Linked DNA regions of Tamandua tetradactyla. The protein of the gene in region 1 interacts with the protein of each later gene in a pairwise test. Links are inferred from orthologs where the notes say so. Each region holds a gene or a part of one and is shown in the gene's direction. Other genes may lie near its edges.

What was found.
Region 2: the proteins of AMOT (region 1) and PTPA interact in binary tests that used the Homo sapiens proteins (3 or more experiments, as listed by UniProt). The two-hybrid records come from large-scale screens. The link is inferred for Tamandua tetradactyla from reciprocal best matches to the Homo sapiens genes AMOT and PTPA.
Region 3: the proteins of AMOT (region 1) and SEPTIN1 interact in binary tests that used the Homo sapiens proteins (3 or more experiments, as listed by UniProt). The two-hybrid records come from large-scale screens. The link is inferred for Tamandua tetradactyla from reciprocal best matches to the Homo sapiens genes AMOT and SEPTIN1.
Region 4: the proteins of AMOT (region 1) and C2H1orf216 interact in binary tests that used the Homo sapiens proteins (3 or more experiments, as listed by UniProt). The two-hybrid records come from large-scale screens. The link is inferred for Tamandua tetradactyla from reciprocal best matches to the Homo sapiens genes AMOT and C1orf216.

What each region holds. Positions count from the first base shown.
Region 1 is NC_135353.1:56,980,353-56,987,792, forward strand, and holds the start of AMOT (angiomotin), read left to right. Parts: upstream 1-4,430; 5' UTR 4,431-4,980; intron 4,981-7,440.
Region 2 is NC_135328.1:52,002,781-52,010,483, forward strand, and holds the start of PTPA (serine/threonine-protein phosphatase 2A activator), read left to right. Parts: upstream 1-4,691; 5' UTR 4,692-4,736; coding exon of another isoform or gene 4,737-4,785; 5' UTR 4,786-4,994; coding exon 4,995-5,046; intron 5,047-7,703. Other genes in the region: CRAT (carnitine O-acetyltransferase), read right to left, coding at 1,270-1,533, 2,191-2,217. UniProt on the Homo sapiens protein: PPIases accelerate the folding of proteins. It catalyzes the cis-trans isomerization of proline imidic peptide bonds in oligopeptides. Acts as a regulatory subunit for serine/threonine-protein phosphatase 2A (PP2A).
Region 3 is NC_135349.1:24,180,316-24,187,583, forward strand, and holds the start of SEPTIN1 (septin-1), read left to right. Parts: upstream 1-4,262; 5' UTR 4,263-4,277; coding exon 4,278-4,472; intron 4,473-4,624; coding exon 4,625-4,715; intron 4,716-4,821; coding exon 4,822-4,908; intron 4,909-5,169; coding exon 5,170-5,293; intron 5,294-5,580; coding exon 5,581-5,715; intron 5,716-5,810; coding exon 5,811-5,928; intron 5,929-6,512; coding exon 6,513-6,614; intron 6,615-6,722; coding exon 6,723-6,822; intron 6,823-7,062; coding exon 7,063-7,228; intron 7,229-7,268. UniProt on the Homo sapiens protein: Filament-forming cytoskeletal GTPase. May play a role in cytokinesis.
Region 4 is NC_135328.1:189,652,476-189,660,307, forward strand, and holds the start of C2H1orf216 (UPF0500 protein C1orf216 homolog), read left to right. Parts: upstream 1-4,832; 5' UTR 4,833-4,992; intron 4,993-5,026; exon of another isoform or gene 5,027-5,133; intron 5,134-7,238; 5' UTR 7,239-7,243; coding exon 7,244-7,832.

The sequences.
Region 1 (7,440 bases):
TGGCCAATTTACTTCCAAAATGTTGGAGCCTGCAAGTACCCCAGGAGTAACTTGGCTCCAAAATGCTGGAACAGGTCTTGGCCTTGGAGTACAGTTCTGGTGTTGTTTCCTGAATTTCCACATTGCTGGTTTCCACACATGGATCATGCTTCAAACTTCCTGTGTCTGGACCAAGTGTGTGTATGGTGTGTATGTATGTGTGTGTGTGTTTATGTATTGGGAAAGAATGGAAGAGGGGAGGAAAGGTATTCAAAAGAAAAGCATTTAGCTGCATTCTTACATTATATATGTGTCTCTGTTCTTTTCCTGTTCAAATGAAACTGCAATTTTCGGATCTGCTGGATTTTGCATTTGCAGAGCAGGTGTCATAAATAAACAGGCGACTTTTTCAATGTGTGTCTAACATATATGAACAGCATTTTCGTGGGGGCGGGGGGGGGTGTTATGTTAAGACATACATCCTGAGAATTTTCGCTAATGAATGTACTTGCCTTTGTTTTTTTTTTTTCTTTTTTTTTCAGATGCATCTAAATGATTTAGTTGTTCACCAGGCAATTAGAGAAAAATTGCTCATTCTACACTACACTCCCAGTAGGCTTGGTAGGTGGGGGAGAGTGTCAATCAGCTAAATCTTATGATTTTGCCTTAAAGAAGAACGTAGCCAGAGGTTGGGACTATAAGCTGTGTTCTCCTTCCTACTTTTCCTGTACATTGGGCAAAAATATTGCCAACAAAGTGCATATGTTGATTTTTATTGCACTTTAAAGACAAGTTGCTTTTTAAGGGGGAAAAAGCCAAATAGGGCACGTAGTTTCAGGTGGAGACTCTTGATTTATAGCTTAAAAGATCTTCCTTTTTTCCATATCAATATATGGAGATTTTAATGTGCAACACTTAGGAAACCCAGTATCTTTACACAGGTGCTTCAAAGTCAGTGGCTAATTCTCCTGGTATTCCCCAGCGGGTTTTTCCATATTTTATAGTCAGGATTTGAAGTCAGGGGATGCCTTGGGGATTAGTCAAATGTGTGTGGCATGGTTTGCTATATAAACTCACTCCCTGAAACTAGTTTTCTCTCCCTTCTCTCAACTTCCACAGCTTTTACTGTCAATACCATTCATTTAGCACTTAGCATACGCCTGTTAGTTATCTTTTCATGTATATATCCTTGAAGGCAGGAGCCAAGTCTCATACTTCTTTGTTTTTCCAGTCTTGTCCATAATAGCAGCTCAATCAATGTTTGTTGATGTTGGCCTCCCACCTCCGCCCCCCAACCCCCACTTTAAGCAGTGCAAGCAATGCATGGCTTTAAATTCAAACAGTTTAAACAAACTGAAGGGTTTTCAGGGTAAAAACAAAGAGAAAGTCCTGTGTGGCAAGACAGAAGGAACACCTAAGATGCTTGAAAGACCTGGGTAAATCAGAGGTACCAATAAACCTGCTTTTTGCCACAGGCTAAGAGGTGACTCATACATGGCCTGATTCCCCATTAAGCTCAGAGCTCTGCTAATTATATTCCATCAAAAAATTAAAAGTTGTAGAAGAACAGTAATGCCCATGGCAGGATTGGAGGAGGGGGTGTGGAAGTAGTTAGGTGTTTGAGGGGTTCCAACCTTATGAAGGCCCTGGTAGCTGTGGAGAAGACAGATTGGACAATCTTTTGAGGACAATGTCAAGACTCTTGCCAGGCATATTAAAACACAGCTGCCAGATCCATGCTACCAAGAATTTTTTTTCTGGCATCATCTGCAATGACAAAAGATGGGAAAGACCTAAATTACAACTCAACAGGGGGCTGATTAAAGTAATTTTGGTATATCTATGCAATGGATTACTGAACTAATCATGAAAAATAATTAGATAGAAGTAATTGTCCTAATATGAAAAGATATTTAAGATACATACTTGAGTAAAGAAGGGCAAGGTGTGTTCACATATGTACCCATGTTGCATGGATATGCAAATAATATATTTTGAAGATTACATACCGTTATAGAGTGTAAGGGGACTCTGGAACTGGAGTAATAAAGAGGCAACTTTTCACCGTACTTCTTTCAGTTTGTTTGATTTTAATTTTACCATGTACATATTTTACCTTCTGCATTTTAACAGCAATGTTAATTTTAACAAGTAGCATATTACAATTCTGATCAGTGGTAGTTCTCCAGCATATACGCACTCTTCATAGCTCTCCTGCCCATGCCTCCAAATAACAAGGCTGGAATAATATTCCCTTGATTCATAAAACCAGGTTTCTCCATGTCTTTAATGCACAAAAATTCATCTTCCCCATGAAAAATCACCTAAATAACCTCGCCTCATATGTAAATTGAAGCAATCATACCCATACTCTTATTTCTGAATCTTTTGGCAGCCCCTAGCAGAGTACTCTGTATACCGAGGCCACTCAATGCTTTTGATGATGTGCTACCTGCCCATAACTTTTCCCGCAACCAGAATTATATTGAGATTCTGTTCACAGTGAGATAATGCTTCCTTTAAACACACTTCCTATTGCATGGCCTTGATCTATGTCTCCTAAGAAGACTCCTATTAGCCAAACTTGAATTGGATGTAACTCTTTCATTTGCATGAGTTCATTATACTAGCTCTCCATTGTCAAAGCCTTTACTTTTAGACTTGCTTCCTACTTGTTACATTTTCTAGCAAATATAGATCTGTACAGAATGTGGTTTCCATGGTAAATGTTCTCTCATATTTGTTTTCTCAAGTTCGCTTCAGAGATACACAGCATGATTTCCTCTTTCAGTACGAGCACCACATTAGATTTAGGTCGTGGCGCCACTGCAGAACTGTTTAAAAAAGAAATCTCACCCACACTTGTTAGAAAAAGGGAAACTTATTATTCTAATTGCAGGGAGCCAACCCATACCCACCTCCAGAACTTTAGGAAGAGTCGTTTTTTAAAACAAAGCCACAAATCCTACATACCTTGGACATAAATGCTTTAAAAACATGAGCAGAATATTTGTTTTCCAAACACGTGAGACTCTGCCACATACCTTTGTGGAGTGCTTGGTAGTCTACAGATTTTTCACACTCATTTCATTTTATTTTCATACCAATACCATTAAGTTAATAGAGCATATTTTATAGACTTTATTTACAAGATGGGAAAATTAAGACTCAGAGAAGCTAAGCGCCTTAAGAAAAGTCGTACAACTAGCTAATAATCGCCGGAGACCGAAATGATTATTACGTTGGTTCCAAAACCCATATTCCTCTGTCACCCTTATGCTGTTCTTTTATGCTTTATTTTCCCAGCTGTAAAATGGGAGACTTTCAAGTGTCCCAGCCTGCTATTCTCAATTGCCCGTGTTTTTAAGCAATACCATCGTTTTTGCAGCCAGAAAATGTGAACATATTGATACTTCGCGTACTTTTTCCTCCTTCTCGCCTAATGAATTGAGGGAGGAAAGTTATCTATTCCGAGGAATGAACAGTGAGTGCCACAGAGGTGTACCCGAATCAGTCGACACACTGTCGCACTCTTACCAGACTGAGAAATCAAGCGTCTCATCTTTCTCTTCCCAGCAGTAGCTGGGGGAGATTAGCGAGCAAGACAATAGGTTCTTGTCTAGTTTTATTAATTTTGAGGATGGGTGGGGCAAAAGAATTCGATTGACGGCTCCAGTAACCAATAGGAGGCGTACCTTAGGCCAGGACTCCCCAACTGCAAACTGCAAAAGAATCGTCGGGTGGGATTTACTCTTCCGGGACGCTCCGCCCAGGCCAGCCTTCACAGCCCGCCCAAGAGGCGGAGGCTCCACGGCGCCCCACCTACCCCACCCCGGCTGCCTGCGCAGCTTGCCATGGAGAGCCAGGCAGAGACGCGAATGGGAGGAGGAAGGGGAAGGCTAAGAGAAACAGAGGAAGAAAGGAGGGTGTCTCATAGAGCTGTGACCTGGGTGGGGGACTGTGGTAATAGGAAGCAAGAGGGGAAGGAAATCGGAGGAGCGCTGCGCCTTCCTTTATTATTTTAAGCAGGCTCTGATAGAAGTCGCTTTTCAGCATTTCTATTTGTTTTTCTTCCTCCCGCTGTGGGGCGGGGAGCTGCACTGGCTCTCCCACGCGACTCTGCTCCGCTGTTACCGTAGATTACTGTAGTCTTTACAGAACCCCTTCCTTCCTCCCAGCCACTCCTTGTGTAGACTTTTGGGCTACCGGAACCGAGTCGTGCTATGTTAGTAAGAGGGCGAGAACGAGGGCACCGGCTTTTGCCGGAGGTTCTGGACACCGCCGTTCAATTGTTTCAAACTTCCCCGCCCCCTGCCCCGCCTCCCTTCTGCGCCCCCTCCCCCGCCCCGAGGTCCAGGCAGACTCCCGCCCTTCTTTCCCCGCCCTCTACTCCGCCTCCCTCCTAAGTCTACCCCCACCCTCCGCTCCTGGGCGGTCCTAGCCGCTTACTGCAAGAAGAAAAGCCACCCATTCGTCCCACTCCTCTACCTCCCATCCTTTGCCCGGGAGCTGCCTTCATAGCAGTCACGCCCCTTCCTTCCGAAGAGCTTTCTGGCTGCCCAAGCTGGTAGACCCCCTGAATTATTCCTCCATCCCCGCTCTCTTTCGTCTCCTCTTCTAGTTCTACCCCCACCCCCACTTCGAGTCTCTGTCGCCTCCGACCATCCGCTGCTCCACCCTCCGGCCCGGTATCCTGTCTGTCCATTGCCACCAAGGAACGCACGGACGGAGTGACGAGAAGGGGAGCAGCCAGGAGTTGGGGATTCCTCCCCCTGCCCATCCTTGGCCGTCGGCCAGGGCCAAAGCCATCTATCTGAGTGAGCTGAGAGCCGACACCTTGTCTTCGTTGCCTTCGGGGGTAGGAGACGTGTGGTTACTTTTCACGGGGAGCTGGGGCAGGAATTCATGGTGGCATGAACTTGGTCCTGCCCTCGGCGTGAGTAAGTCTGTCTAGATGCGTGTGGAGATGCCCGTTCGTTCTACTTTTCTTTGCAGTTGTCGGTGAGTTTTCCGGAATGTGCTACAAGTTAAATCACTTCAAGAGTGTGCGTTCCTTTTCGGGCCCTCCTTTGGTGAGGAGATGCTAGTGGGTACCACTACTTAATGGTAGTTTTAACCCCGTTGCCTCCTGGGGTCCTTGTAGGTCTCTAGGTAATTAATCATGCGAGAAACTAAAGACAGGAGATCTCCATTTAGCCCAGCACTATTGTCCGCACTTAAATCAATTGATGCAGGTTTCCTAAGTGCTTAGGGTAGGGTTTGGGGCTCTTACACTCCCCTCTTCCAGGGTGCCATAAATTTTGAAGTTTTAAAGTCTGGGAGTAATCTACCACGATACACTTTGGTGTACATGTGCATTTGCGTAGGGGGTGGGGTGTCAGAGGTTGCTACTTATCTAGTTTGTAAGGTCCAAAGATGTTAGTAACTAGTTTTGCGGGACCGTGCAGATATCTGTAGGGTCCCAAACCCGAGCCACTCTGCGTTGGTGCTTCAATAGTAATACGGATTTCGTCAATAGGTGAAAATAAAGAGTAGGAAAAGTGGGAGGGAAAGCGGCAGTCTTTGTAGATTGTGAGCAGTTCTTCGTAAATTATCACTAATGATATAATGATAATTTGCAGCAAGGGAGTAGATGCAATTAAATGTGTGAGGAAAGGGAAAGTTAGTGAGAAAAAGCATTTCCAATCTCTATTATATTATGAATCTAAAAAAATAATTTTCCAACAACCCAGGGGATTTCTTTCCCCTCCCACCCCACTTTCTCCAAGAAGGATGGAAGTTGGGGAGCAACTTTTATGAATTTAACCCTTTTCTAACATCAGAGAGGAAGATGATTAGTGACCATAATCTTCAATGGTGGAGAGCTAAGGGTATTTAAGTCTCCTTGAGCTAGGCTTTGTGAAAAGTTCTTTCTCATGCCAGTCTTTGTGAAACCTTCTCAGTTAGACCTCTCAGCACCCTCATTTAGTAACTAAGCATAGTTTGAAATACCATTTTAGACATGAGGTACAGCTCCCCCAATCTCCCATCTATTACCAGTTTGGCAAGGGTAGCAAACTTATAAGAATGGTTGTGTTCAAAGACCTATTATGAGCGATCCCTGATCCATTACTTATTTGGATACAAATTACTTACGCTTTTAAATAATTTCTTTGCTTGATTTTAATGGTGGGAAGGAAAGCAGGGAAGGAAAGAAGAAACATTACAAGGCAACAATTTTAAAGGATATCATGTTTCAGATCAGCTGGGAGGGAAGAGCTGGCTTGACCAAACTACATTTTATAACTGGCCTGGGACATTTTAATAGCCAGGTGGCTGTAGAGTAGTTGCATCTATTTACAGATGATAACTCAGATTCCAGCTATTCTGTATGGGTTTATCCGGTGTCATTTACAGACATTTTCTGGCAATGCATCAGGCTTCATTTTAAGATGCCTCTTTCTTTGGAGAAGTTCGTGGCTCTCTTTGGAAAAGTTTGTGGCTCTGTAAAATTGAAAATACTTTTCCTAACTTCATAGTTTAGATATGAAGTAAACTTCTGACCACAGTGTGTATGTAATAGCTTTCATGCAAAAATTGTGGGTCTGTTTACCTATTTAAAAGACTTGAGAAAAGCGAATTTTTTCTTCATATTAATGCTGATTTGGATTTGGAAACTAAAATCTCATTTCTGGTTTATAAAGTAGGGTATATTAGACTAATACATAATCAAAGAGTTTTGTGGAATTGCTTTTCTGGAGTTGAGTAAAGAATAAATCAGACTCCTTCTAGAATGCTTTGAGAAAAGTCTAATCAGAAGGCAGAGGGATGGAAGCTATGACCTTGAGGTCCCACTGAGTGCCAGAATTCTAAGTGGGTACATCTGCTTCTGGGGCTCTCACAAGAACCCTCTCCCAGGGCCTGTGCCTTCTTTAAAAGGGTGTCTTTGTAATTAAGCAACCCTTCTACCCCACCTCCCCCCCTTTCTTCCTTTGATCCAGCTTTATAAGCCTTTTTTTCCTATTTGGAGACAAGAGGAGTTTCTCACACTCTCCTGCTTCCCCTCTTGAGTTTTTTTCCTATCCCCCCCCCCCCCCGCACACACAAAATGTCCCCTGAAGTTCTCAGGATGATTGGAAGTTATTTTGTTTTGTTTTGGAAATGGGTGCCAATGAGGAAGAGTAAAGGATATATTCCTTCTTGGGAGAAGCTTGTGGCCAGGTAGCTTCCTCCATGGAGACTGAAGTTTTGGAATGTATGAGAACAGCCTATTCTTAGGGACTGTCTGGAAGAAATTGTCCTTTGCACCATTAAGCCTAGCTTAAACCCACTGAAAGGGGTAGAAAAAGGTGTATGTGATTGTGTCTGAGCCTTTTTGGATGGTAAATGGAAGAAAGTTCTCAAATCTATTATTATATCACCTCTTTTCCCCATGGACCCAGTGAATTTGGAGATCCGTTTGACAAGTTAATTAGCTTGGGA
Region 2 (7,703 bases), on another chromosome or scaffold:
CCTCATACTTCACAGGGCCAAAACCCAACTCTGATTCTTTCCACAATTTTGCTTCTCCCTCAGCCATCCCCAATTCAGCAAATCCTTCCCCACCGTCCCTACCATAGTTGCTCTAGGTCAGGACCTCTCATCCCAACAGCAAGTGCTGTTGTTGCTGCCTCCAGGATCCATCCCAGATCTAATGGCTTTCTAACCTTTCCCTGCCAAAGCCCTTGGTCCACACTGCCAGGATCTCCCTCCGGGGGATGTGCCTGTCTTCCCACAGGCCTTCAGCAACTCCTCTCGCTTTACTCCCAATACCTGAGTGATTCATTTTGAATCTGATGTTTCAGTATAAGATGCAAACAGAAGCACATGCAGCATAAGTATAGATACATTTTCACAGGTTGAACACACCTGTGTAACCAGCTGCGCATTCCCCACTTTAAGCCTTCAGGCAGTTCCCCAGCCTGTTGTGGCACAAATTCTCATACCTTATACCTTGGCCTCCCCGGCCCACACACTCCGCTCCAGCCCCACCAACCCTCACTCTGGTCCCGGAACATGCCAGGCTGTTTCCCCCTTGCCTGTGCTATTCCCTGTCTCAGACTCTCAGGTATCAGAACCAATGCCACTACTCCCCACCCTCCCTGTCCACTCAAGATAAAAAGCTGCCATTCCTCACCCCCCATGCTCTTTCCCATTATCCTTTTTTATTTCTGTAGACCTTGGCTGACTGTAAGTACCCCATCTGTTTATCATATGCTATCTGTTTATCACCTCTCTCTCCCCCCAACACTTGAATGTAAGTTTGAAGCAGCAGCCAGTGACTGTGTCCTTCCTGCTCACCCAGCATCCTACCTAGGGCCAGGCACAGAGTAAGTGTTCAAGAAACTCTGTGGGAGAAGATAGAATTTAACAAATGAGTATGACTGCTGAATCAATATATTGACATTTCTGTCAGTCTCCAGGGTCTTGGAGGCACTACAAGGAAAAACCTGAAATTGCGGGACTGTAACCCATACCAAACCGTGAAATCTGTTCCATAACTACTTGTTAAAATGCACGTTGAAATTTATTGCTTTTTTGTATATATTTCACAATAAAAAAACGTTAAAAAAAAAAAAAGAATTTCTGTGGACAAATACACCAAAGCAACCTAGTATTCAAAATTTAGCCATGTGTGGTCAACACACCACAGTGAGGGATGCTTAGAAGGATCCAGAGCCTCCGAGATAGCACTCAATCACCTATCCCCATGAAAGGTGGGGTGGGAAGGGTCTCACTTACCCAATTCTCTGTCTTTCTGGCCCTGCGCTCTAACCCCTTCTGTAGGCGGTCCCCGACACCTCCCGCCGTCCGAAACTCATCCACCAGCTGCTTGGTTTGGGCCCATTCCTCTTCGCTCACGATGGGTTGCAGCGCCTTGAGGTAATGGTCCAGGGTTTGCTGGAGTGGGGGTACAGGCAGTCGGGGCAGTGCATCCTGGTGAGCCTTGAAGCGGCCGGAAACCTTCGTCAAGGAGGTGGGCTTAAGCAAGCCCAGGGGCTTCACCTGCAGGCAGCAGAATAACCTACTCATTCTCCTGCTGGGGCTAGCAAGGAGGCCCTGGCAATCCTAAACCCATAATCCTGGGCATTTATGTGTCCATCTGGGTCAGAGACGGCCTCTTGGGCGGTGCTGTGCCACCCTGGCCTCCCAGCCCTCAGGCTATGGGTGTCCCCACTTCAGGGGCCTGGATGAAGAAAGGGGTCAGGGAGAGTAGGGTATGGCCATCGATCTCGGCAGAGCTCGGGGGAACCAACTCAGGGGTACCAGTGGTAAGGGAGACCTCCCACTGGCCTTGATGCACAGGGCCCCACCTTTTTCACGCTCACATGATGAACCAGCCAGCAGTGAGGTGACTGCTCCCACCCGAATGCCCCGCCCTCCTCTTCTCCCACCCTTCCCAGATTGAGAAATAGGAGGGAAGAAGAGAAAGTGAGAGAGCCACAGAACCTCAGGTCTTTTCCTGCTTGGGCACAGGAGGAAGGGAAGTATGGGGACAATGTCAGGGCAAGAAAGAGCTGAGCAGCATGGCATGGAGAGTGAGAAGTGGCAGAGAGAAAGAGGGTATACAGCAGACTTTAGAAGTGAGTAGAAAGAGAGACAAAAGGGTTGGAGGCTGCTTGCAGCAGTGTGCAGGCAAACAGCAGAGGCTAAGTTCCATACCTTCTTTCCCTGCTGCCCGTCCTCCATGGCAGGACTGAGGTTCTGAGCCCTGTCTGTCTGCCTTGGCCGGATCTCTAAGCCTAACTGTGCTATCGAGTGGGTGAGCAGAACCTAGCAAGAGGCAGCCACCTGCCTGGGCTGGAAAGAGAAGACAAGAGCCAAGATTCAGGGGTGGGAGGGAGGGGCAGGAGGCAGATGTGGCAGATGAGGTAGCTATGGTGGCAGTGGTGGCATGGGGGTTGTGGTATTGGCAGGGAGTTGAAACTGCTGGACCTCCAGAAGCTGTTCCATCCTCCTAAGCTCCCAGAAGTAGGAGAATGGGAATAGCTGGAGGAGGAAACCTGGAAATTTTTCTTGTTTCTTCTCTGGATGGGCTCAGTACCAGGGAGGCAGGCCAAAAGCATTAAAAAAAAAATCCACCTGTTGGAATCTGCGTAGGTCTGTTTGATGAGGGAAAACTTGGCTAGAGGGCAGAAACTATGTGGCTGCTGAGGTTACACCACAGCCCTAAAATTAGCCCCGAAATTGGGGATGATGCAAGGGAGCAGCCCTGGGTGGTCATGGATGGAACAGAGGTTGCGAAGAACCATGCCCAACTCCCATTTCCCTCTAGGACTCTAAGGGTCCTTCTGGGCCATCCCTCTATCAGAGCCTTGCTTTTCTTCAGCCACAGCTCATGTAGCTGTGGAAGAAGAGTGGAGGACTTTTTGGCATTAAATATAAATCAAAAGGATGCTGGTTTTGGAATTGGACTAGATTTTAGTAACCAGACCCAGGGAACTCTGACCAAGGCCTTCCTTGCCTCAGTTAGGATCATTTCCTTAGCAGAAAATGATCAGGTCAGCTGTGTGGTCCTGGAGGATGACCAGCAAGCTGTCTTGCAATAGGGGTACAGTCCAGGTGGCAATAGCAAGGATGAAGAGGAACTTCAGGGTCTTGGGAGGCCCCAAAGAACCCCTAAATCTTAGCCTTTCAGCCAGCAGACAGGTTCCCTAAGCTCTCTGGGGCTGGTGGTATCTGTTTAAATATACAGGCAGAGATACGAGCAGAGATGCCTGGACCAGAACAGAAAGGAAGCCAAATCAGGTAAGCGGCACCACTTGCGCCAGGTAGCCCTCTGGGGATGATTGGGGAATAGATATGGACAGGTGGGAGAGAATGGGGGAGGGGCATGGGACTGCCACCTGCCACCTTGGGACAGTTCTGAGGACTTCCTCAGCAGTGTAGCTTGATGCCTCCCCACGAATTTCTCTGGTCACATACATTCCCCAAGGACCATTTGAAAACCCAAGAAGGCTGACCAAGAAGGTTGGAGAAGTGGCTCTGCCCTGGGCAGAGACAGTAGGCCTGAGCATGTGGATGGGAGTTGTGAGTCTGAGAATTAAGTATGAGTGTGTGTGCCCGGCTTGACACTTCTAGCCTCTCTCCCCACTTGACTTCAGGTCTAAGGATCGGAGGTCTGGCGAAAGCCAGGGTCCTACTGTCGTTTCCGGGTCGTGGGAATTTAGAGTTACAGGATGTGGGTTCGATACCACTCCTGCCCTTGTACCTCAGTCTTCTCTGCCAAACAGGGGAAGCCCACATGCCGACCCCACTCCACTAGAGAGGCTGGGCGGGATATTGGCTGCTCTACACCTTCTGGCTTCCGCGGCACATTTCCCCATTCCGGCGCAACTAAGAAGCCTGCCCGGCCCCCCTGTCCCATCCAGGGCCCGCCAGCCTGAGATCCCGGCCACACTCACCATGGTCCTGGCAGCGAAAGCCAACATCGTTGCTGCCCGTAGGCGGACAAACAGTCCGCTCCGACCTCACGCTGGGCAAAGTCCGCGACCGCTAGGGCCCAGCTGCGGCCGCTGGACCAAGGTCGCCGAGTCACCGCCGCCAGCCAGGAGAGGCCGCCCTGCGCCCATCCACCGGGTCGGGCGGGCGGGCGGGCAGGCAGGCGGCCCAAGGGAGGGAAGACTCACGGGGCGGGGCCTCAGGCAGGCCGTGGACCTAGGGCGGCTAGCCGCGAGCTCAAGTGCGGGGCCACAGCTCGCGACCCGGCCCAGCCCCAGGGGCGGGGAAAAGGGGGACGGTTAGGGGTTGGGAGTCCCCGAGAAGCCGTGGGACCCAGGAATAAGGCTGAAGATGAGGGTACTGTCCAGCTCTCCCCCACCTCCAAATAGCGTCTGCGCTTTTCTAGACTAAGCTGTTGGAGGCAGCTGCGTGCGCTTCTCCCAATCCGTTTGGTATCCTTGAGCGTTACTCTTACAGTGGCAAGAAAACACTAACCATGCTGACGGGAATGTCCTCTAACGTTCCTCAGATAGGGTCAGTGTCACGCGCAAAGATGACAGGTGGGGAGCCACGCACAAAGATGACAGGTGGGGTGCTGCCCCACAAAAACATGTCTGCCGCACCAATTAAACGCGACGGCCCCGCAAAAGTATGGCTGCCACAGCGCACTCCCCCTCCGCCCCCTCCCTATTACCCGGCGGTCGGTTAGCTGGTAGGTTGGCGAGCTAGCCGTTGCTGCGCATGCGCCGCAGGTGCCCCGCACCAACATGGCTGCAGCTCTCCCCAATAAGCTCGATACCCTCAAGCCGGCCGTTGGTGGGCATGCTCCCTGGGTGCCCCGCACCAACATGGCGGTTGTCTCCGCTGGGGTGACTTTAATTCTCGGTTTTCGGTTATAGCTGACTGGTGCTCATTTCTCTTCAGAAAGCTCTGAGTCTGGGGTGGAGTCGGGGATAGGAAGGGTGGGTGCAGGGAAGGGTGAGAGGAGACTGGAGGCGTCCGGACTAGCTCTTGGCGGGAGGAAGATGGCTGAGGGTGAGCGGCAACCGCCGCCAGGTAGGACTCAGCCTGGCTCAGGTGGGCTGGGGGCGCGGGGGCGATGTCAGGCGTGAGGGCGGGGAAGGGGTGTGGTGTGGGGGGCTCAGGATGGGGAAAGTCTGGAGTTGTGAGAGTTCGATGGGCAAAGCTGATGGGCCCCGAGGAGGAAGGGACAAGAGTTGAGGAACCCGGAGAGCGCGGTGGTGGGAGAACCATGGGAAAGAGGCCAAGAACCCGAGGCTGCGAAGGGAGGAGTCGGGTGGTGTTTGGGGGGCGCATCACAGGACTTAGGAAGCCCGGGCTGCCCGAGAGCTCGGTGGGCAGCGCCGTGACTAGAAGGGGAGGCCTTTTTCACATCTGGGCCCTGCGTGCCGAGCCCTTGACGTGGTGGCAAAGCTGCCAGGGATGGGGGGTAGGGGTGATTCTGGGGGATGTCTTCTTTATTAGACCCTGGCTCCTGGGGGGGGGGGGTGCTTGGTAGGCTTGCCTGGCCCCCCCTTAACCAGCCACTTCCGCGTCTTGCAGGGCAGACTCTGGAGTTTCAATAGCTGAGAATTTATTGAGAGAAACTGCCCTTGGTATCTAAACCATTAATTTAAAGCTGGTTGTGCAAGGAGATGGAGTCTCCTTGGCATCATTGCCTGTAACTTTTATTTACACTGTGGCCTTTTTTTAGTTCATCTCAAATGATTGGAAATCCAGGGTGGAGGCTCTGAAGAAGGGGAAGACTATTTGCTGATCCCCTTGAACTAAAGAAGGACTGACTGCAGATAATTTTTAAACTTCTGATGGAGAAGGAAATAGATTAGGCCAAACACAGCTAATGCTTTTTGTTGTTTCTTTACTTTTTATTGTAGTAACAAATATACAACTCAAAATTTCCCTTTTAACCACTTTCAAGTGTACAATTCAATTGTATTAATTCTATTCGCAGTAGTGTGCTATCACTAATGTCCATTACTCCAACTTTTTCAAACAGAAAATCTGCACTCATTTAACAATATATCTCACAACCAATGTTTTGAAAGCATTCTAATAATCCTTTTACCCTGTCTCACATTTTCTAATCCTTGGGAGGGTCTCAGAAGGGAGAAATTTTAAAGATTAGAAGAAGAGATATTTTCCCCCACCGCAAATAGATTAACAAAGAGCCAAGTATGGTCCGTTAGGGTATTCAAAACTAGAATTTATTTCCTTTTATGCAAACTTTTGTGCTTCTACCCTGAGAAATTCTGGTAAAGATATTAGGAAATAGAAGACAACCAAAATTATCAGTGAGATTAATGAGTCTCTAAAGAGGCATGGAGGAGGATAGGGTAGGGAGAGAACTGTGCGCTGAAGGAGATGAAAGCTCACGGGGGTTGTCTAGGGCTGGAAAGGTCGAGGACTCTGGAGGTGGTCCTTCTTTGAAGTTGGGAAACAGCATGTTTTGGAACAAGTGGAAAAAAGTAGATAGTGTAATGGTGAAGAGAACTTCAGAGTCACACAGACAGGCTGACAAGTCATGGCCTCTGTGAGCATCAGTTTTCTTTTCTCTTAAGTTAGAGTGACTATACCTTCTTCATAGAGTGGCAGTTTGTGTGCAATAAGATGATGTGGGCAAACCCAGGCATATAGTGGGTAGTCAACAAATGTTGGCTGCCGTTACCCTTTTCAAACGTGGTACAGGTTAATCTTGTAGACCATTTCCCAAATGTTAGATGAAGATACCTTATACTGTTTGTGATTTTTAAGGAATATCTCTAAAACTCTGGAAGTTGCTGTCTTATACTGTGGGGTCAAAGGGGACCTAAATGTGCCTCTCAGAAACAGAATTTGAGCTAGAGAGATTGTGGGTCTGATCTCATTTATCACAGTCCTGTGTTTGAAAACTTGTTTCTTTGATTTGGGATTATGTGTTCTGGTGACTTGTGTGTGTTGCATCAGTATTTTGTAGCAATGATTCCTGCAAGGTTGCTTTCTCCTGGGAATAGGGGCTGATCTGGCTTGGAGGTTTTTCTCCGTGTGGAGTAATTTCAGGAAAGGTGTTGTCTTGCTGGGGAATAGTGCTTTCAAACTTAGAAAAGAGGTGTATTTACAAAGATTATTTACAAGTTGATTGAGATGTGAAATACGTTTTCCCATAAAAACAATGTGGTTAGATTACCAGCCTGACCTACAAAATTTTTTATTTAGCATGTTGTTTAAAGTAGCAATTTGCTAATAGCAGGCTCCTCAATCCTGGGTTCTGAAACAGAGCTTGTAGGACACGTGAGAAGAGGAAGAGTTTCTGTTCTCATTTTTGGGCCCTGGTTTGAATCTTAAATTAGGCAGAGGTTTGCTGTGCTCTTATTTTTTACTCCCTTTCTTTTCCCTTAGGTCTCTAGGTCTTGTGGTGCTTTTCTTTTCTCTGGCCAGGCTCTCTTCCCCCAAATGGCACATGTTTCAGAACCTTTTAGGTCACTATCCTCTTTTCTCCATGCAGCTGATATTAGCTAAGTTTAGGAGTAAGGCAGTGGGACATCTATTTACTACTTTGTGAATGACTGGCAGTCCTTACTCTTCCTGAAGAGTTTACATTTTTGGAGGAAAATTCCTAATCTAAGGAATCCCTGATTTAGGTCCACAACCCACTAACCAAAACCCTTGGGGCCAGATATGCTTTGAAATTCAGAGTTTTTCAGATTTTAGAAAGCAGTTCCCCATAATCAAATGCA
Region 3 (7,268 bases), on another chromosome or scaffold:
GCCAACAGTTTGGGATAAAACGAGGAAATACAAGTTTATCCATGGGTTGCTGGCAGTTTAAAGGGGCAACACTCAAATAATTAAAATAGAGAACTGGAAGTACTTGACGCAGTTATAGGGACCCTTTCAAGAGGGTATAGGAGAGCAGGAAGTGTTATTTCCCTGGGAATTAGTGTGCATGAATGTTAGATGCTAACAGAAATAGGGACCACAAGTCAATCAACACATACTGATCACCAACCAATAGCTAGACACTGCTAGACCCTGGAAATACAAAGGAACTCCTCAGGGTGCTCTCAGCCCAGTGAGATAGGGAGATATGCAGTCGAAGTAACAGCTTGTATATTGGTCGTATGGACAAGATACGAAAGTGTGGTGCAGAGAGAGGTACCTTCTGTAGAGTTTGGTGGCCTGGTACTCTTTAAGGCCTTTCACATAGCTTAATTCCTGGCCTTGTCACTTAGTACTGTTTGACCTTAATGAAGTTACTTAAGCCTCTGTTTCCTGAACTATAAAATGAGGCTAATTCCTAATTAGAATGGTTGTGGATTAATATGTATGAAACTCTTAGCAAAAAAGTATCAGCTGCAACTATTTTGGCTGAGTAACCAAGGAAGGAGAAGGTAGCATTTGAACTGGGCCTTTCAGGATGGTTAAAATTTCAGCACAGTCCAGAGCCTGGCTGGAGTGAGGGCTGAATGCAGAACTCCAGGTAGAGGGAATGAAATAAACAGGGGTCCACACTTTAACTGAAAACCTACTAAGGCTAGAAGCTTGAGTTTTTTATATGATCAATACCTGTCCTCAGAAAGAAAAATAGAGAATAGGCCTGTTTTAAGGTGCCATGAATGAATGTAATAGCAAAGTAATGGAAGCTAAAGATCGAATTGTAACTTTGTTCATTTGCTCCACAAACCTTTCCTGAGCATCTACCCTGTGCCAAGCACTTGTTGCTGAGCAAAAGAGGTAAGAGGGTATCAATTGGCAAGGAGCCAGCCCCCCGGTGGAGGGGCCTTTCCCACAGGCAGCCAGGCCATGCATCATACTTAACTCATTTTCAGAGCCAATTCTTACTTTAAGAAGACAACACTTGGAGTGAGTAGGCCTGAAAACCTGTCCTCTGGTCTAAAGACAGAAGCTACTCTAGATATGCCTGGTGGGGACAAAGGGACCTATGAAGACATCTGTGACACATGATGATGAGATGAAAAAGAACTAAACCAGATACATAGCTTATGGGAAGGGAAGCATCCACCCCATACTGCTCCATATGAAGCTGAACGTGGAACTTTCCTTTCTCCAAGGAAACAGACCCCGAGTCTCAACACAGGAATGATTGGGTTTAATTTGCTGGCATTAATAAACATGTAAATGGAGGGTGGGCCATGGTGGCTCAGTGGCAGAGTCCTGCCTGCCATGCCAGAGACCCGGGTTCGATTCCAGTGCCTGCCCATGCAAAAGAAAAAACAGTAGTTAAACATGTAAATGGAATACTACATCATTGTTAATCCATACAGCTCCACACTTAACAAAACACAGTGACCAGACCAGCCAAGAACGTTTTCTGCAGGGCAACTTGTTAATATTCAAATGCCTTAAATATGTGACCTCCTTTGACTCAGTAATTCCCCTTACAGAAATTAAATCCAAATAAATTTTTGGATAAGTGTACTAAGGTAGTGCCACAAACACGTTCCTTCCAGCTCAGCATTGACCATCATGGGAAAAAATGAGAACCCAACCTAAATACTAAACATGTGTAAAGATAATAATGTAGCATGTGTATTCATTATTGTAGAGAGATGTGCAGAACATATTAAATAATAAAAGCAGGTTTCCAAACAAAGTTACAGTGTGATCCTATTTTTCTCGATTTAAATGTGTACATATATATAATAGATATAGGAAGAATCCAGAAGGATAAACACCAAAATGGGGTTATATCAAGATAACAATATTAGATTTTTTTTCCTGATTCAGCTCCATTTCTAATTTTTCGATGATGACTATGTGTTAGCAATAAATGAATATACATGTTATTTTCTTAAAGGCTGTTGAAATAACTCAGAGAAGAGTTTATCAGTGTCTGAATCCAGGACAGAACCAAGGAGGTAGAGGGTATTGAGAGAAGGGGACCATCTTTTCCTGATTTAACAGGCAGGCCTTGGAAACCACTCGGCTATGCTTGTGGAGAGAGGGGGAGGGAAGAGCCCAGGGTTTTAGTTAAGACCATAGATCTGTTCAGCCTGATGGGAAATGCAGGAGTAAAGGCTGCCCTGCAGTGGGGAGGGGTACAAATAACTCCTCCCTTTGGCTTAACTCCAAGTACACTTTTTATTCCTGACACTTTTAGCAGACAGGCTGTGTGTGACACTTCCTTGTGGCTGTCTCCATTTCCCCAGAGAGCCACGATCCTCACAGATTCACTCCATCTAGGTCAGCAGCAACTAATCCAGAAGGACAGTCAGGAGATTTGAGCAGTTGGCTGTATATACCCTCCTCAGTTCATGTAATATAGTAATTAACATTTTTGCATGAGCTCAACTTAGATGCCAAGCATTGTACTTAATGTACAGAGCTTTGTGTGTATTAGCCCACACATTCCCCATCATGACCCTGCAAGGAAGGAATTATTAGTGGTGCCATTTAACAGATGAAGAAACCGAGTCAACAGAGAGGTTAACTTAAGATGCCTAGGGCACACAGCTCCTAATTACTATCGATCTCTAGAATCACAGGATCTTTGCCCAACCTGTGTGTTGGGTGTGGCAGGAGTTTTTACTTCCATGATCACACAGAAAGTAAGGCCCAGAGGGGTGACTTTCCCAAGTTTCCATGGGAAATGCAGTTGAAGTATGGATAAAAAATATATGTGGCCATATGGATGGATGTTAGTTAACAAACAGAATGATACACATTTCCATGTGTAAATATGGGCTGTTTATGTACCTTAAACTGTACCCTCAAAACACATTACACATTTTTTAAGCCACATACAAACTAAAAAAAGCACATTAAACACATTAAAGTGGTTACCTTGGGATGGGGGTAGGGGAGGCATGTGCTATGGGGCTAAAAGGGAAATAATAAATAAAACCAAAAGGAAAAGGAAAGAAAATGGGGTTGGAGAGGGAACCAGGATCGGATCAAGCAGGGTCTTGTAGTCCGTGGGGAAGAGACTAACTTTAAAGGCTCAGTGAAGTTAATTTACATGTCCAAGTTCACCCAGCTCACGCTAAAGCCAAGGTTTGTATATATAACTAATTAACGCCAAAGCCCATGTACGCAGCCACTCTCCATGAGTTCTGATAACAAAGCTGAGATGTGTGTTTTCCATTTTACTGTGAGGAAACTAGGGTTCAGAGAGACCAAATGGCTTGCCCTAGGTCACACAGTGAGTGGTTATAGCTAGGATATGGGAAGTTCTGACTCCAAAGTAAGGCTCCTAATACAAGTTCTGCAGCCCCCCCACCCTTTGGCCCCAGCTAACTTCATTCATTCCTCCTTTCATGCACTCATTCATCTAGGATATTATTTACTGATACCTTCTTTGGGGCGAGTCCTGGGTGAGACATGGGGGATATGGAAATTTGGAAGACCTGGCCCCTGTCGTCAGAGAGCTCAGCTGGGAGCAGGAGAGGAGACAATCAGGTAAGCAAAGACAGGCCTAGGGGGAGTCTTTGAAGGGTGCTGGGGAGTCCAGAGGAGGGGGGATAATCAGCCTGGCATGGCTGTGGAAGATTTCAAAGAGGAGGAATCAACCGTCGAAGGATGAACAGGGGTTCATTCAGTGCAGCAGGAAACACTCAGTGTGGGCAGAACAAGGATTTGGGGGAGAGTGAGAGATGAGACCAGATGGAGGAAGCTTAGATTGCCAGGTCAGAACTCAGACTTGATTGTAAGGTCATAGAGAGCTCCCTCAGGAGGTAGAGCAGGGGAATGCCCAGGCCAGGATTCTGAAGGAAGTTCTCTCTGGTGGTGGTGTTGAAAGACCTGGATTCCCTTTAAGAATCTATTGCATGAGTTGGCAAGGAAAATTGATGGCTCCTCCCATCCCAAATCTGTTACCTAGGACTCCTGGTCTACTCAGACCTTGGGAGCTTTTTTTTTTTTTTTTTTTTTTTTTTTGGTAACCATCTTGTCAAAGCTTTCATCTCCCCTGGAGAGAAAGCAGTCTGCTTCCTTCCTTTTTTGTCTACCCCCCATCTCCCACCAGGGTGATAGGGCCATAGTGGGGCTTGCAATAAAAGTGTGCAGAGAAGCTGATTCTAGGGGTCATGGACAAAGGGATCCAGGAGATAGGGACCCCAGGTATCCTTGGTCTTGGCTTTCCCCACCTCTTTGGGCCTGGGCGAGTTTCAGTATCTCAGCTTTCTGCACTGCCCGCCCCCTTGTTTGCCGCCCTCAATTTCCTGCCCCACCAGAGGAAGTGGGAAGCGACAGCAGGTGCAGCAACAGCTAGCAAGGCCATGGTGAGTCCTGATGCCCCTGGCCCCCTACACCCATGGTTCCGAGGCCCGGGTCACCCCACAGTAGGCTGATCTGTCCTAGCCCCTGAGCATAAGTGATACCGGGAGCCCTGCCTGCTACTCCCAATAGCCTCACATTGTACTGCCCCCACCAGGACAAGGAGTATGTGGGTTTCGCCGCCCTTCCCAACCAGCTGCACCGCAAGTCCGTCAAGAAGGGGTTTGACTTCACGCTTATGGTGGCAGGTCTGGGACTTAGGAAATTGGTGGGGGGTGGGGGTGGGGGTGGGGGGAGGTTCTAGAGACCCTGGCTGTCCCCTCACCTGAGCAGTTGGGCCTGTCCTGTCCACAGGGGAGTCAGGCTTGGGGAAATCCACTCTCATCAACAGCCTATTTCTCACCAACCTCTATGAGGATCGGCAGCTGCCAGCTGCCAGCGGTAAGGCCCCCCCGCCACTCTGTCCTCTCCAGGCACTGCCCTTGGCCCTCCTCCTGTGTCCCCAAGCTGTCCTCTTTTCTTTGCCATCTGGGTTTCCCAGGGCTTTCTGGATCTGGATGACTCAAGCAGCTCACTGCTTTCCTCTGGGACTCGGTTTCCTCCCCTGAAAAATGAGTGGGGGCGGACAGTGATGCGGAGAAAGGCCATTAGTCCTGTCTCAGACCCCTACCAGGCTCCTGGACCTCTTCCGTGTTCCCACAGATCGCTTGACACAGACACTGACCATCGAGCGCCGGGGTGTGGAGATTGAGGAGGGGGGTATCAAGGTGAAGCTGACCTTGGTGGACACACCTGGCTTTGGGGACTCAGTCGACTGCTCAGATTGGTGAGGAGGAGGGGAGGGGCAGGAGCTGAGCCCCTCAGTGGCCCGCTCAGTTACAGGGCTGGTCTGCTCTACCCAAGAGATAGTGCCTGTTTCCGGCAGCCACCTGGCTCAAAGTGTGTGCTGTGGCTAGTAGGTGCTTCTCCGCGTCTCACCTGCGCCCCTGCCACCTTCCCCTCATGCCTTTGGTTGAAGCCAAAGAAATGATCTGCCACTCCCACAGTCCTGGCTAGCCTTGCCCCTGCCCCGCCCTGTGACCTCTGACCCCATGCCCTCTTCCCACACCCCAGCTGGCTGCCCGTGGTGCGCTTCATTGAGGAGCAATTTGAGCAGTACCTTAGGGATGAGAGCGGCTTGAACCGGAAAAACATCCAGGATTCCCGGGTCCACTGCTGCCTCTACTTCATCTCACCGTTCGGTCGGGGGTGTGGAGGACACCTTGGGAGATGGGGCATTTGCAGAGGGGGTGGGCGGGTCTCCACACCCTTGGGCTGATTCCTCCCCAACCCCCCGGGTGCAGGCTCCGGCCCCTAGATGTGGCTTTCCTCCGGGCTGTGCACGAGAAGGTCAACATCATCCCAGTCATTGGCAAAGCAGATGCCCTGATGCCTAAGGAAGCCCAGGCCCTCAAGCAGAAGGTGTGATGGTGACCTCTGATCTGTGACCCTAGGTGAAGGCAAAGGTCACACCCAAACCTGATCTCAGCTATGACTTTGTTCATCTTGGCCTTTTTGGTGCATGGCGTGTCAGGCTAAACGGTGGGGAAAACTGAGGGATGCTTTGTCTCTGGAGGCTCAGAAAAGGATGGATATGCAGCTCCTGGGAGAAGGCCTGTCCAAGGGCAGGGGCACACCACCATGACCCCTGACCTACCCTGGCCCCGAGATGCTGATGACCACCCCACTCCTCAGTGTCTTCAGAGCTCTTACCCACTGTTTATGTTTGTCCTTCTCTCCTGGTGTCTTAGGGGTATGCCCTGTCTTAGAATCTTTCCAGGTCTCAGTCTTCACTATTTGTGTCTCAGCCCCTCATCGTCTCTGAAGTTTTGTTTTTGGTCATCCTGTGTGTCCATCGCTAGCCGTCTCTCTTTCATGTCTTTTGGTCTGCCTCTGACCACCCAGACTCCCTGTCTGTCATATCGCTGGCCATATTTTGTCTGTCTCTCATGCTCTGTATCTGACTCTCTGTGTCTCACTGTCTCTGCATCCCTGTCTCCTCCAAGATCCGGGACCAGCTGAAGGAGGAGGAGATCAACATCTACCAGTTCCCCGACTGTGACTCCGATGAGGATGAAGACTTCAAGAGGCAGGATGCCGAGATGAAGGTGCTAGAGGCAGAGGGGGCGGATGTGGAAGTGGAGGCTGAGAGGTCCCCCTCCACCCCACCCCCTTGTCTCAGGAGCCAATGGTGACCCCTGACCTCTGACCTTTAGGGAAGCATCCCCTTCGCAGTGGTCGGTTCATGCGAAGTGGTGAGGGATGGGGGGACCCGGCCTGTGAGGGGACGCCGCTACTCCTGGGGTACCGTGGAGGGTGAGTAAGGCTCGCCCCTGTTCTCAGGCTAGTAGGGAGCCCAGGCTGCCACCAAGTCAGCTGCACCCACCATGCAAAGCTGGAGGTGGGCTCTGGCCCCAGGGGTCCTAGGAATCAGAAGTGGGGATCCTGGGACTCAGGCAGTACCCACCCAGGGCGGCAGCAGGACTCCCGGAAGACTGGCCCTTGCTGGTGGAGCTGGACCCGAAGCACCCTGACGCTGGCTGGTCCGCCCCCCAGTGGAAAACCCACATCACTGCGATTTCCTAAACCTGAGACGGATGCTGGTGCAGACACACCTGCAGGACCTGAAGGAGGTGACGCACGATCTGCTCTACGAGGGCTACCGGGCCCGCTGTCTGCAGAGCCTGGCCCGTCCTGGGGCGCGCGATCGTTCCAGCCGCAGGTGAGAGAGCCGGAGCAGACGCTCTAGAGGTGTCCAAGAC
Region 4 (7,832 bases), on another chromosome or scaffold:
ATGAATCCATGAATCCCATTTCTGAGGGTCTGTGTACACCCAAGGCACTGAGGCTTGTGATCTCTCCCACGGAGCCTGGAGCCCAAGGCGTGATTTAACCCTTTCTTTTAACACACCTGCAAGGAGTATCTGGTGTGTGAGGTGGACACTGTGGATACTGAAGGCATCACCCCATCCCCCTTCCATGAAAACCTGTTGGCCCAGCTGCTGTGAGTGCTGTCTTCAGACTGACAGCCTGCAGTGGTCAGCTCCTTCAAGGATTGCCTCAGCAGCAGAGAGCCCCTGGCCCAAGGTCCTGTCCCTTTCCAGCACAGTTCACGTCCAGTACCTGCAGGAGTATAAAGGCCTGATCATCTTGACTCTTCTTGGGACAACTCTGAAGGGCCCTTCCAGCTTCAGGGCTCCTTGTGGGGTGGGCTGTGGCTGTCACTGCCTACATTGTAGCTCCACTTCTTCATTTACCCATTCCTTCCTTCCCCTACCTTGCACAGATGTTGATCTCAAGAACAGTCCTAAGAAACGTCCTGCACGCCAAAATGTCTCAGCGGAACCCAGCCTGCAAGTGGGCTAGTCCTGGCAGCAAGGTTTTAGGACAGGAAACGACCAAGTCACCAAGTTGTACGCTTAGTTTTTCTCCAGAGGTGTTGTTGCTGACTCTTTATGCCCACCAGAGGGCAGCAGCAGCCTAGTAACCTGCCCGCAGAGGCTCAGAGGAGTGGGCTTTGAGCCTTTGCCCTACGACACGCCCCTCCCCACCAAGAGCTTTAGGTAGGAGCCATCCCTTGGTGTGTCTACTTTCCTGTCTAAGGGAAGAAAACTTTCTAAAACTGTCTAGACCTTGGTTTTTCCAGGATCCCCCCCTCCCTGCTCCCCAGCCGTGAAAGGCCAATCAGTCTTCTTACTACAACTCCATCCCCCTCCCCAGCTGGGCAACCTCCTCGCCCAACATCTCCCACCTCTCAAGATTACCACCCACAATAGATTTGTTTTCTGTGTGACAAGGTAATTATAAGCTTGGTGCCAGGAGGCCCAGGGGCCAGTCTGAGGATGGTCACTTCAATTTGGCTCTCCCTGTTCCACTAACATTATTGATTTTTAGTTTTATTTATTATTTTTGTGTGTGCGATCCAGCCCCAGTGAGATGAGGTATGGAGGTGGGAGGACAAGAGCAAATTTATTCTTGTCACAATTTAGCTTCTTGAAAACACCACCCACCTGAGATTGTTTATCTGCTAGTCTTAATATCTTTGTTTGCTTGACTTCATTCTATCCCCTAGTCCCCAAAGTTCTCCCAAAGATTCTTCTGGAGATTGGAAACAAAATGTAGGTAAAGAGACGGTCTGGGAAGAGGAGTGGGGACAGGAGGACAAGGACAGTACCTTATGTTAGCAGCCATTAGCATCCAGCAGGCCTCTAGTGAATTTCCATTACCTGTCGATTATTTCTAACTCCCTGCTTCTTTCACAGCCCTTCCTTCTTGAGGCAGTCCTCAAACCTGCTATGCTATTTGTCCTTTTTTTTTTCTTTTTTCTTTTTCTGCATCAGTTTCTCAGGGTGTGAAATGGGTTTGAACAAAAATCTGAGCAGAAAGCTTTCAAAGTTTGAGATTGGGTGCAGCCAATTCAAAGAGCCGTGACTGTCTGAATTTCAGCTACTAAAGGCCTCCTATAATGCACTCTACTTCCTTGGAGAAGAGTAAGGGCAAGCTTTACAAATGGGAGGGGGCGCTTTGAACAGCGGTGAGTGCCTGGAGAATCAGCTGAGGCTGAGGGCCATTTGTGGGGCCGCGTTCCCCCAGCCCATCTTCTCTATGCATGCCAGGAGAATGAATAAATCATTGTTCAGGGGCGGGATGCAGCTGCCGGGCTCCTCCTCTCGGCACATGCCCCGACTGCAGCTCCTCCATTGAAGACTGCTAGAGCAGAGCTGTTTATACACCCAGCTCCCCAAATCCTATTGGGGCCTCCCCCTCCGCACGAGCCACCGGCTCCAAGCCCATTCAGCCTGGCCCTTTGTGTTGAGGGTTAAGTGGTTACATGTGGGGGGCACCCAGAAAGGACCTGTCAAGCCCTGAAAGACTGTCCTGATGCTGTGCCCTCCTACTGATGATGAATGGGGTGGGTGGAGGAGAGGTGGGCGGCCGGAGGGCATGAGGATTATGGAGCCCATGGAGGCAGCTGCTAGGAAGGGGGTGGAACAGGCATCCCCTTCTCTCATTTCTCCTTTCGTTCAGCTCCTCCACCCAGCCCTCTCCCTCTGTTATAGGCTCTGGAATGCCATCTACCTCAGGGCCTTGGAAGAGTGGGTCAAGAGGGCATTTACCATGTTTTGCTGTGGGAGAAAGTCTACACTCTCATTCTTCCAGCAAATCCAAACACCCTGTTTCTCCTTTATCCCTTAGGAGGGGAGAATTTATCTCCTAGGTTCATCTAATGCAATGTATTTGAAATTGCCATTTTTAAAGCTCTGAGGAGCTTTAAAAGCTTCCTCAGAGGCCCCTCAGCAGCCATTTAGGATGGAGAGGTTCAGGGGAAGAGAGGAAATCTCAAATTGGGTGTATTGCAATGATTTTCCTTGGGTGGGTGGGGAGGGGAAAGATTCCAAGCCTTCAAAAGAAGAAAGTTTTAAAACAAAGGTGTGGCCCTTCCTGGCGATGTGGGACAGAAATCCTAGAATGAGCTGAGACTCAGCATCAAGGGCTTGAGAAGACCTTCTAGACCAAAAGGGGGAAGAGTGAAATGAGACAAAATGTCAATGGCTGAGAGAGTCCAAACAGAGTGGAGAGGTTATCCTGGAGGTTATTTGTACGCTTTAAGTAGATATCACCTTGTTAGTCAAGATGTAACGGAGAGGCCGGAGGGAACTGCCCGAAAATGTAGAGCTGTGTTCCAGTAGCCATGTTTCTTGATGATGATTGTATAATGATATAGCTTTCACAATGTGACTGTGTGATTGTGAAAACCTTGTGTCTGATGCTCCTTTTATCTACCTTGTCAACAGATGAGTAGAACATATGGAATAAAAATAAATAATAGGGGGAACAAATGTTAAAATAAATTTACTTTGAAATGCTAGTGATCAATGAAAGGGAGGGGTAAGGGTATGGTATGTATAAATATTTTTTCTGTTTTCGTTTTATTTCTTTTTCTGAATAGATGTAAATGTTCCAAGAAATGATCATGATGATGAATATGCAACTATGTGATGATATTGTGAATTACTGATTATGTATGTAGAATGGAATGATCAAAATAGGAATGTTTGCATTTGGTGTTTTTTTGGTCTTTAAAAAAATAAAATAAAAAATACATATAAGAAGAAAAAAAGAAAAAAAAACCCTCTGTTTTGAGGTACCTCCTCCTCATTTAGCAACTGAGAAAAAAAAACCCAGCCATATCGGGTGTGGGGGAATGGATGTGATCACACTGTCATTCCTAGGTGGACTAAGTGCACTTGACCTTTAAGAGGCAGTGGGGAAATGGAGGAAAGAAACAACTAGGTCACCAGCTTCCTAGGCCTTTTTTTCCTGAGATGAGCAAGCCAAATGACTTTCCTTCTAATCTGCCTTAAGGGTTCTCTTGCATATCAAAGGGACCCCTGGGCTGTGTCTGATCTTGGGGAGCCTGAGAAACAACAAGTACAACTGTAAGTATTTAACCATTTCTGGGCATATTCTTTTTTATTTAATCCTAAAGGGTTAAAATGACTTGCCTAAGTTCCCAAAACCATGTGAGAAAGCTAACAGATAATATGAGCTCGGGAAAAGAGAAGAAACCAGTTAGCAATGTAGCTTGTACTCCAGGACTTGGTTCTGATGTGGCACTTTGAGTACATCCTCAGTTATCTTCCTGCAGCCCACAGGATGAAACCCAAATTCCCTGCACAACTGGTCCAGTTTACCCTTCAGCGTTGTTTCCTACCTCCATTTTCCCCACACCAGCCTCCTGTTCCCTAAATACACTAAATATGCATCCTCTCACCTTCTCCCCTTTCTGTAGTGAGCAGACTCATTCTTCCAGGCCTGCCTCAAATAACACCTCTGTGTGAAGCCTTTCTTTACCCTCCTTTGCACTCATTGCATTTGCCTCCTAGCTCGGTGGCAGGACCCATCACATCGCACACCCCACTTTTCTGAGTCTGTAACCCTTTCCAAGCTGAAAGCTCCCCAAGGCCACAACCAGGTCTGATTCTGCTCTAAATTACCGTGGCAATAACTGGCACAAAGTAAGCTCTCTAAACCGTGGGCTGAATGCGAATGCGTGGGTGGGAAGTGGCATGACCTTTGAGGTGAAAACGCTTCGATCCTACCCACCTCTTTCTTCGTAATGAAGAACCCTTATATGCCTATCCTATTTCCTGGAGTGGAAATTCCTCTCATCTTCCCTTGTCTCCTAGCCTGACACCCCACTTCGGGGGCCGGACCTTATCCCCAGCCCTTTCCCAAGGTGGATTTTTCCTCTCTCCTCTTAAAACGTAACTGGAGAGGTAGGTAGCCCGCAGAACGCGCCGAGGGCCCTGAGGCTGTTGCCTTAAGGATTTTCCCTGCAGCGCGAAGCCACTGAACTGTTCCAAACCGCAGGGGTGGTGACAGGATCAGACTTTCATTTTGAAAATATCACTGTGTCCGCAGTGAGGCGAAGCGGTGCAGTGAAAGCCCTTAGGAGATAAACCAGACCTGGGCGGTCGGGGAAAGACAGCCGAAGGGTGGGGGGCTGCGGTTCCGGCCCACTGCGCAGAGGCGCCGCTCAGCGGAAAGCCGAACCGGCCCACGTGGACCCGGCCGCCCCGCCCCGCCGCGCTGACGCCGCCCCACTCCGCAGTCTGGGCCTGGGGCTGGCCGCGCCGCCCCGCAACTCGCGCCCCGCGCCCCTCGCCCTAGCCCACGTGGACGCCCAGGCCGAAAGACACCCCCACCCCTCGGCCCGAGTGGGTTCCCGTAGGTGGCCGGGGTGGAACCAGAACCCGCCGCGCCGGGGCGGGCTCCTCTCGGCTGTGAGTTGGGGCCCAGAGGGGGAGGGATTGCGGCCCAGCCGCGGGAGAGGGGGAGTTGAAGCCTCCGCCCAGCTGCCTCTTCTGTAGAGGTTAGGGAACGGTGGTCTCTATCCTGTGTGTTGGCGGGAGTGTCCCTCTCTGGTAAGGCCAAGCAGGAAGGGAGGCCCCCTGGGCGCCCCCATCCTTACAGAGTCCCCACCCCCATCCCGGGCAGATTGCGGATTAGTTCAGGGAGAGGCCTGATCCTGGGGTATCTGGGCTCCAATTTTGCCATCTCTGATAAAACGTGATCCTTAGCGCCACCCTCACTCATCCTAGCCTGCTTTATGGCCCAAACCTAGGAAAAATAAAAATTTTGCACAAGGAAAGATTTCCAGGCACCTTCCAGCGAGCCTTTCGTAAAGGGATGTATATGTGGTGGGTGGGGGTGGGGGATGGTGAGGAGGGGATGCAGGTTACAAAGGGATCATTACTCAGGACTTGTCCTGGCTACTGGATGTGGGGAGGGACCCTGTCCACCTCTAGTACCTGTTGTGCATATAGTATCCCGCACTCTTAGTGATAATCGTCAGTCTCTCTAATCCCAGTAGTAAGTGATCAGAAGAAATCGCTTGTCAATTCAAACCCTAATTTGGGTAAAAATCAGTTATTGGAAAAGGAAAAGTGATGTGGCATGGCCACTCTCCAGGGCCTGTGGATAGAGCAAACCAGAGGCAGGGACACAAGATGTAGTCATGTTCCAGGGGAACTGGAAGGGAAGTGGGTGAGCTCAGAGGAGAAGTTTGTCAATGGGGGGATTGGGGGGGGCACCCTGGAGCAGAGGTGGGAACTGAAGCCAGCTCTTCTAGTCCTGGGTAGTCAGCAGTAGACTCCTGCCACCATCATCCTGGGCAGGGAACTCCCAGGGGAGTCCCTGCTCCCCTATTCATTCACTCAGCAAGCATGGATTGACCAATTTGCTAAGTGCTAGACTCTGTGCTGGGTCCTGGGGATGTGATGGAGAACATCAAGGAGCAAGCAGCTCCTTGGGGATCCAGATTTACAAGGTACCATTACAAGATAGTTGAAAAAACAGTTACATAAACATTTATTGATTTTCAACTATGTGCCAGCAACAGGAAGCAAACATGGATAGTACAGTGTGTACCCAGGGCAGTGGGAACCCAGAAGAAGGCATAATTAACTGTGGGGGTGGATGAGTGGGAGGGTGGTATCAGGGGAGTCTTCAGAGAGGTGAAGATAATTGGAATTGAGTTTTGAAGTAGGTGAAGGAATGTGCTGGGTGGAGAAGGAGAAAGCTTAGAGGGAAGAGGAGAATATGGGCATTGTAGGCCAAGCAAATTGCTTGAAAAAAATATGGTGTGTTCTGAAATCTCTGGGTAGTTTGTTGGGGGAGGGCCAGAGTGGCAAGAGGCATGTCTGGAGAGGTGAGCAGAAGGTGGATCAAGCAGGGTCTTCTTGGCCATGTAGAGAGGTTTAGCAAGAGTTTAGTGAGGGCGCAGCTGCAGTGATCATTCAAATTTATATGTTTAACTGGAGGCAGAGAGATCAGTGAAAAGTCTGTGTCAGTAATCCTAGGAAGAAATGGCCTGAACCAAATGAAATTGTGAGGAGATACATACACATACTCACACACACACACACACACACACACACACACACACACACGAAGGTTTTTAAAGAGGAAGAATCATGAGAATTGTGTGGCCAATTCAATGGGGGCAGGACGGAGAGTGAGGGGTCCAGGTTGCTCCAGGATTCTGACTGGGGTGACTGAATGGGTAGTGGAGCCATTTTGCTGAGGACACTGAAAAGAGGGCTGGTTTGGATGAGTAGAATTTGGAGAGCCAAATTCTAGGTTAAGGGGTGTCTTTGACAGTTAGATAGCAGCTGTAACTGGACTGGAGACATATGGATGGTTTGAAGCTACAGCAGAGGATGAGGTCATCTGGGGAGAATGCAGTTAGAAGAGAAGAAAACCTGCTTTGGAAGGCTGAGGAAAACCTGCTTTAAAAGGCTGCCCATTTAAAGGATGGGCAGAGAAGAACCCTGTACTGGAGACTGAGAAGGAAGATTCAGAGAGGGAGGAGAAAAACCATGAAGTGGGGCTATTATCAGGGTCAAAGGAGAGGGACTAAGAGCAGCCAGCCTCATGTTTGCCACTTTGTCTTGGCAGCTGCAGTAGCATGACTTCAGTCATCCCACCCCGTCTTGCTGTGACTCATTCCTCTGCTTCCCCCTTACAGACCAGATGTTTGCCATTCAACCAGGGCTAGCTGAGGGGGGCCAGCTCCTGGGGGGCCCACCTCCTGGGGTATGTCAGCCTGACTTCCAACCAGACAGCAACTCCAACTTCGTGGCAAATGTCAGAGATGCCAATGAAAACTGGCATGGGATGCCAGGCAAAGTGGAACCCATCCTGATGGGGAGTTCCCCTGAGTCACCCTCTGACAACAAGGCCTTCCAGGACCTCGAGGAGGAGATCCGTAGTCCTCCAGAAGGGGCAGAGATCCCCAGGGCTGAGCTTGAGAAGATAGTTGGTGGCAGCACAGTCTGTTCCCCACTGGAGGACAACGGCTATGCCAGCAGCTCCTTGAGCATTGACAGCCCTAGCAGCAGCCCTGAGCCAGTCTGTGGGACTCCTCGAGGCCCTGGCCCTCCAGATCCTCTTCTGCCTTCAGTGGCCCATGCAGTGCAGCAGCTTCAGGCCCAGGAGCGCTACAAAGAGCAGGAGAAGGAAAAGCACCATGTGCATTTGGTGATGTACCGTCGCCTGGCCTTGCTCCAATGGATCCGGAGCCTGCAGCATCAACTGGTTGACCAGCAGGCCCGTCTGCAGG